Linked DNA regions of Bombyx mori. The main gene of each other region encodes a partner of the protein of the gene in region 2 in a complex. Links are inferred from orthologs where the notes say so. Each region holds a gene or a part of one and is shown on either strand. Other genes may lie near its edges.

Region 1 (3,326 bases), on a different chromosome or scaffold from region 2:
CATCCGCTGTATTAGTAGTGAGAGGGCCACTTTAATCATGTGAATTTGTTAACAAAAATAATTCTAAGTAATAATCATAAAAAGCTGCAAAACACTATCTTACGACGAAATTGTAATGGTCTTATCAAACAGTACTGGTTATACAATTAGGATGTACACGCTTTTTAGCCTTTCGAAGTTATTCGATTTTCAGGCAGAAAACTAAACAATTCGTCGAATAAAAAGTCAATATTAGTGCAAATGAGTCTCGTCAATTTAGAACGCCATTTTGTTATTGGTGTTCAGCAAATATATGAAAAAATATATTTTTGTTGGAAATCACATGCTGACATTAAATTTTTTTTGTTAATTCCTCTTTTTTCCCCCATTTTTTTGTTTGTGCAGCGATTACTAACTTGTAGTCTGGTAGAATGTATTGTCATTTATTTAATTAACTTAATGCCTATTAATAATACTGACTTTGATATTAGTTGTAAAGCTACAATGATTATTTCTGTAATTTCGCTATTTATTTGAATAAATATTTATAAACCATTGGCTTTATAATTTCAATTATTTACTAGTTTCCTAGTTTTGTAGAGCTGTAGAATAAATAAAACTCCTATCTATTAGAAAATTTAGTATTTCATCAGTGGCCACAATAATTTTCTTACATAAAAAACGTGTAAACATAAAATCATCATAAATTTAACAAATAATACTTCCCAGGTAACAAGCACCAACTAATTGTGAAATTTGAAAAATATATTATACTATGTGCATATAGTGCAATAGACCAACCATAAATCCTGTTAGATCCACATCATAATTCAATTACAACTAATCAGACCTCTACAAAATTTACAAACTAAAAAATTTAGTATGTGCATTATGAAAAAAACTAATGTAATACAAATTTCAGTATCAGTCATTTAAAAACTTACGATTTGAGTATAAAGGATTGATGGCTGGTGTTAATAACAAAAATATTTTTTTGAACAGAAAAATCAAATATATTTTAACATCACAAAATATTTTTTCTTTAGCTTTTAAAATTTTGACATCTATACACAAAAGAGAATAATTTATTTCAAATGATGCCTGTCAATTGCCACCTATGTTAATTAAATATTTTAGGAAACAACAAATTATTTGGTTTAGTTTATAGATAAGTTAAATTTAAGCGCTAAGTTGCTTTATTATTTGACAAATAGCTTCAAAATAATAAATTTTAAATTAAATTAAAAATTGACAGGCTCACTCGATGCGTTTTAGCAGCTGCTTCGTCATAATGAGAATTAACATTTACTCGTCAGGACTAGACACAGAGATTTAAGTGAGTATACAAACACACGAAAGAAATGCATGCATTCTTCTTAAATTAAATGGAATCACTATGACTTCCGTTACTAACAATAGTCAATAATATATACAACAAAAATATATTCGAATAATATTGAATTATAATGGACGTATAGTTTTTCCAGATTATTTCCATCGATGTCTGGTTTCTTTGTTACTGTCGCTAAACTAAATATAAGTAAAACCATAGACAAAAAGAGATCAACTAGGTATTGAAAGACAGCGGAATTCGTGCAATCATCTTCCTACCGAAAGTGACAATATTTTCGTATTCGATAATCAGGATATCATCTTACCACCGTTTAAACGGTCAAATCCATATCTATCATAAAATAAATATTTATCCACGAAAACGAGGTTTACTTAAGATAGGCGCGCGAGTTGAATGCAGAGCCGGATGCGGTTGTGCTTTATTTAAATCAGTTGATCGTTACTCAATTACTAAAAATAATATTTTAAAATATATTATATTTTTTTATTTAACGCAATTAGTGCGAGTGTGCGTCTGATTCGAGGTGCGGAGGGCGGTGGACGCTTGGGCCTCACACAGTAACTGCGTGCAATCCGTGCGCTTATTCTAAGAAACCACCGCAATAAAAAAATTTGGTGCATTTAATACTTTTCGAATGAGTTTTATAAATAATAATTCAAAAAAAGCTCCATTAAGGTGTATAAAGAACAGATAACTACTGAGACGTGAGGCGAACTGGGGAATCATCATCACCAATGTACACCCCACTTTAATTACCAAAAATAAACTGACCGGCAGTGTAGCAGAGCGATTTTAAATGTGTAACCATAATGCAGATTCGACATAAGAAAAGTTCTCAAAACTTTTATTCGAAATAAAAAATAAAAAATAAACCTTGTGCTGCTGTGTCTAATGGCTATGATGCTAATAAAGAATAAAACGTGAAAACCCGAATCATATTTTAGTATATGATTCTGAAAATTTTCATTTTATTTTTTTAAGTTTCATAAATAACAAATATATTTCAGTGTCTAGTGCGGGAATCGGATAGCGCTATTTTCTTTTGGTAATCAAACAGTCGGGGTGATTGTATTGTAATGGTGATTCGATCGAAGCCGGCGTCTTGCGGCGTGCGGTTATTCCGGCTCCGGCGAGTCGGGCGCGTCCACTGTGGCCACGGACGTGCCCCCCGCCGCGCGGACCTTCTTCAAGTAGGACGCGCTGTCGAACTCCAGGCAGCTCTGTTGATACGTAACTAATTTATCGCCTCGAACTGAAGCCAACACACCACATACAAACCCTTTCCATTTCCCGAAAGCGCTAATGTTTAATGTTTAAGCATAATCGACGCTTGAAAGGCAACGTGACTAAGCGACAATGCGTGAACTTTACGGTAGACTAAAGTTGAAATACCCGAAAAATATTATATTTTAACGAATCTAGCTGTAGGATTGAAATGATTTTAATAGACCTAGAAATATATATATTTTTGCGCATCGAATATGGTTATTGCCTATCATTTATGTATAAAGCAGTTATTAGCATTTGCCTTTCAAGCGTCGATATAGTTTAGAGAATAATCAGCGATAGTAGATATTAGTAGTATTATTAGTAGTTAATGGGATGAGCGGAAGAATAGGCCACAAATTTTTCATAGTTTATATTCATAATAACAGAATTGACAAGCTGTATATATAAACCACACATTTAATTTCAGCAACTACAAAACAAAACACAGATTAAATATTAATCACATAAAATTTACAATTTAAAAGCGAAATTGAAACGATGGAATTGATTTTCTACCTGTGACGAACCTCTCTGGAATACCCATTCTGTACCAGCAGCGTGAACATACACATACAATGTTAGTATAGCGTTATATACCTTAGATTTAACACAAATATTAGATAATTTTAATAAATTATATCTCAGTCTTATAAACTCATTTAAAAATTTAACTACACCCTCACAAACTTATTTTTTTAATATACTTTATCATATTCAATAATAA
Region 2 (4,332 bases):
TTCTGATGAAATATAGCATAAGGAGATAAGTATGTGATAAGATAAATGATAAATCATTTAAGATAATACACATTTAATTTTGACTAATTTTCACTAAGATGACCTCGAAGACTCTCATAAACTCTCATTATTGTAATTGTATAAAAGCCTACAACAAAGAGACATGAGACAAATTCAGATGAATTTTATCTTTCAGTCTGTATATTTTTTTATTTATTCCTCTGCACTACAGATATTTTAGGGTTTATAAGGATCCATAATGTTTTAATCATTATCAATTACAAGCTAAACAAATTAAACTAATACATATTGTGATGATAAACAGTTTCCTTTGATACTTCAGTATTGTACGTGCTCATAGATAATAAGATAATTATATGCACTACTGCATATATAATTAGAGAACACAGTACAGCAGATAGTTTAATTTATTTATATTTGTGCATAGTATAATACAATTTAAATTCACAAATCACTTTAGATAATTCTATAATGTGAGTTGTGCATTTACTAATTATGTTTGTTTAACAGATGCTCTGTTAGTGTTTGGCTCGTTTTCCAACATGACCTTGGCTAATGTCATTACTTATTATTCATGTTAACAAGAACACAACAAAACCCTCTAGATATTCATAGAACTTAGAATGTTATGTAATTTCACTAAGAAAATGAAGATTTTTATTTTGAAACTTACCAATTTTATCTACTTTTGGTCTGACATTAACAACAGCACCACAAATCTCATCTGAATTCTCGAAATTTTCACCAATTAAAAGAAGAACCTGAAAATTAAATACAATATCTTCAATTTTAATGCATCTCACACACATCTCTGGTTCCTTGTTGTAGGTGCTTACTGGTCACATCCTTCCACACATCCACATTACTTCAAACAAAGATCAACAGAACATAGAGCCAAGCATACAGCTTGTAGGTAATGAGATAGGAGATGATCCTTCATCTCCTTCCTACAATACAGTTTCTATCTGTAACTGTATTCTAATATTCAACAGGATTTGAGTGGGCAGCCTTAACTATTTGAGGCATGATTTGTGGTTTCTTAGAAACCAATGATCTTAAATAAGCTACAACATCTTATTAAATGTTTATAAACATGGGATAGTGCAATCAAGCTAATATTCACTCACAAACATGTGCTCAGAAAAACTTGTCATATTTTTAGAAAATCTTTTCCTTTCATTATGTCAAACTTGATACTCAAAAAAGAAGTATTCTAAAACGGTATATAATAAAAAAGTTTAACATACCACATCTAACCAGAACCTATCTAAATCAGTAAAGCGTTGTTTTTTCTCAAGACTGATAAGCCATCTTCCTCCCATCTTGTTAGCATCGTCTTCCCACATAGGACGAATGCCTTGCTTGAATACTGCATAGTCATGACCTTGGCGAAGTTCTGACGGTAGCTTAATATGATGGTACAATCTGTAATGTGCAATAACAGTTTTGCTTAAATAAAAACCTACTAATTACTAAATTGACTACTCAGAGTAATTTTTGGCATTTTCTTATTATAATGGAATGAATCTATAGAATTAATGAATGAATACATGTTGACAAAAATAGAAACCATGTTTAGCACAGGGGGCTACGACAGACACATTGTATCTGCCATTTGACATCTATCAGTAAGCAATGAGTAGTCACTGGTTCCATAAGTCACTCATTATTTTTGATGTATTTCTTAAAAGTTTTTTGTGCAAAAACCCCTCAATGATTTTTTGAACATACTTGATGTATTGGTGCGCGAAAGGGAAATATGTCATGGACCTATGGCATCCATCACTCCATTCTACATGTTAGATACATTATTATTATAGAAAATATAACAAGTAAATAAAAGAACAGATGATTAAATCGACAACTAATCACATTAATTATAATAGATACGTAATAATTAGCTCTATAAGAAAGTGTTCTAGTTTAATCTTGAGCAAAATTAATTCTGTTTAAGTTCAGGTTCCATCAGAATTTACTTTCTCATCTAGGTTGCAAATGTATAGAAGTTGCATGAATGTACTTCTAAAATGTATGAAATTTATAATTTACTTCTGTAACCGGCATTTTCCTTTACCTCCAAAAGTCTTCAACTGTGTCGAATGTAGTCAACTCAATAAGATTCTCCTCCCATGTTTTGTTTCGGTCATTGTCGTAAAACCAGAGACTCCACTGGTTTTGTAACGGGTGCTTGATCAAAAATTCAGGGGGCACCTCCGCGTTACTGTTGGTCTTCGTTTCAGTGGTAGTAGACCCCTTAAAAACACAGGTCATTTTTATTAGTGAACCTAACCTAAAAAAAATATTGTTATTTTCGTAGAAGTCGTTTAACGACTTAATCCGGAATATTTTTACACAGAAAACCACTCGAGCGAGGTAAAGTTATAATTTATACTTGAAAACTAGACAATTATGCTAACAAATGTAACAGTGAAAGTTAACGAAGCCACATCAGCAAATTGCGGCAAAATTATAGGTTTTACGATTGTATAACCGGCAAAACGAGGTAGAAAATTACTTTGTTTTCTTAATAATTACATCTACCCACCTCTACTTCTTCTGTAGTATTTCCAGCCATATCTTGAGAGGATAACGATGCAAATTTCCTACGAAAAGGAGCGACAGAGTCAACGGGGTTGCCAAATCAGAAATCGCGTAAATTATTTATTATTTTATAAAGTGGATGTGCGCTAATCATGGTCTAGATTTATTTAAGGGTGTCATTTTTTTGTCTACCTATGTTGGTGATCTCATGGGATTATACCAGCTTCACGAAGCGAGTAGGCGAGTTCACGGGGCTAAGCCTGGTGAATTTGCTAACACTAGCCCTATTAAGAACAGTGCTTCGCAGTATCTACCACCAGATCGGAAACACGACCCACTGAGAAGATTCGGCGAGAAACTCAGTGGGCTGATTAACTCAGGGTTAATTTGCTCGCCGAACCCTTCGTCGCATTCGAGAGGAGTGACGAGAATGGTCACCAGTACTGGGGGGTGCCTAAAAGCACCGATAGTGGATCGCGAGGATCCGAAATGACGTGTTTTGGGCAAATGGAAAATATTAAATCACGGCATTTCCATCATCACCTTATAAACACAGGCCTTTTCCGAAGTTGGCTACAGTGACCAGTCGAGCAGATCTCGTGACCTTCACCAGGTCGGTCCTTCGAACCGTTGTGAAAGGCCTACCCACAATGCGCCTTACAGCGTGCGATTGCCATTCGAAAACTTTTGAGCAGAGTAGCCACCTGTCTTACCAGCAATATACCAAAGCATAGCTGTGAAAAGTTGTTTCGCTGCTGACCTCTATTTAGAACTAGCTAATAGAAATCATCGTATGATATCCTTATCTATGCACAACCTCTTTTTTTAAAGGGATTTTATGACCTGGTAACTAAGACCATTAAGTCTTATTTTAATTTATTTTCTTATGTTTATGAAAAATGATAATATGGAGTCAAATGAAATGAAATGAAAATGAAACGAAATGAGATGAAATATAACCTCAGTAAAATGGTGATCATTTACTGAGACTTTTTCAGTGGACTTTTTGGAGGATCCCGAGAAGCTACGTTCAGCGGCTTTGTTTCATTTTCCCACATTTGTGCACTTTCTCAGATACTAAACAGTTAATAAATCACCGTTATTACACATTTACACCTGAAGAAACACTAAATAGACAAAATAAAACAAATCACACAACTTCACTTCTCGAGTTCCCGCCAAAAAGGCATGCACAACCCTATGCGAGCACAGACCGGAAATAAATTCATAATAAAATTGTAATTTGTAATTCACAATTCACCAAAGTGTATAATCTATGCAATTCACATTATTGATCGGTTTCAAAACTCCGTGTGCGTCGTCTGGTTTGCCGGCTTAATCGACGGTTAATAATTAGATTATACAGTAACAAAACAAAATTTAATACATCACTGTAAAATGTCAGTTCACAATATCTTATTGGATTTCTCGATTGAAGCGGCCCGTCTGGAAGATGAAAACGGCCAAAAAGATATCTTTGGACAATTGGAAACTCTATTAAAAGAATATATACCAAATTTGATCCTAGCCACCGACATAAAATTGGAAGATGGTTCATTGAAATTATTAACCGGTAATAAAGGAACGACTGTATCCGTTAGGATGTTTGACCGAGGTTTCATTACTTTAAATATTGAATTTTACAAGGGCGGAAATGAGGAGTCCGTGATCGATCACAAGGTGAGGATTATATCGATTGAATGTATTGAGTGCTATTATTTTATTTTGGCACATTATATTATTATTGTAAAGTCTTTGCGAAACTCGGTA

What was found. The genes of interacting proteins can lie anywhere in the genome.
Region 1: the proteins of mRNA cap-binding protein eIF4E (region 2) and eukaryotic translation initiation factor 4E-binding protein Mextli are in contact, whole or in part, in a crystal structure (PDB 5ABV), measured with the Drosophila melanogaster proteins. The link is inferred for Bombyx mori from reciprocal best matches to the Drosophila melanogaster genes eIF4E1 and mxt. Residues at the interface, in NP_001261626.1 of Drosophila melanogaster: Lys80, His81, Pro82, Leu83, Met84, Tyr91, Glu93, Asn105, Glu106, Ile107, Thr108, Ser109, Val113, Glu114, Trp117, Ser118, Leu119, Tyr120, Asn121, His122, Ile123, Lys124, Pro125, Lys130, Tyr135, Asn171, Leu174, Asp175, Leu178, Ile181; in NP_001260053.1 of Drosophila melanogaster: Val579, Ser580, Tyr581, Ile583, Leu586, Leu587, Tyr589, Ser590, Ser592, His594, Ser595, Trp596, Thr597, Leu598, Pro599, Asp601, Trp602, Lys604, Met605, Thr608, Ala609, Ser611, Ile612, Leu613, Arg614, Asn615, Leu618, Arg624, Phe625, Tyr630.

What each region holds. Positions count from the first base shown.
Region 1 is NC_085110.1:13,311,094-13,314,419, reverse strand, and holds the end of eukaryotic translation initiation factor 4E-binding protein Mextli, read right to left. Parts: intron 2,554-3,326; coding exon 2,449-2,553; 3' UTR 607-2,448; downstream 1-606. UniProt on the Drosophila melanogaster protein: Plays a role in promoting translation.
Region 2 is NC_085128.1:2,391,943-2,396,274, reverse strand, and holds the start of mRNA cap-binding protein eIF4E, read right to left. Parts: upstream 3,004-4,332; 5' UTR 2,597-3,003; coding exon 2,567-2,596; intron 2,275-2,566; coding exon 2,096-2,274; intron 1,447-2,095; coding exon 1,269-1,446; intron 783-1,268; coding exon 695-782; intron 1-694. Other genes in the region: spermine synthase, read left to right, coding at 3,961-4,242. UniProt on the Drosophila melanogaster protein: Recognizes and binds the 7-methylguanosine (m7G)-containing mRNA cap during an early step in the initiation of protein synthesis and facilitates ribosome binding by inducing the unwinding of the mRNAs secondary structures.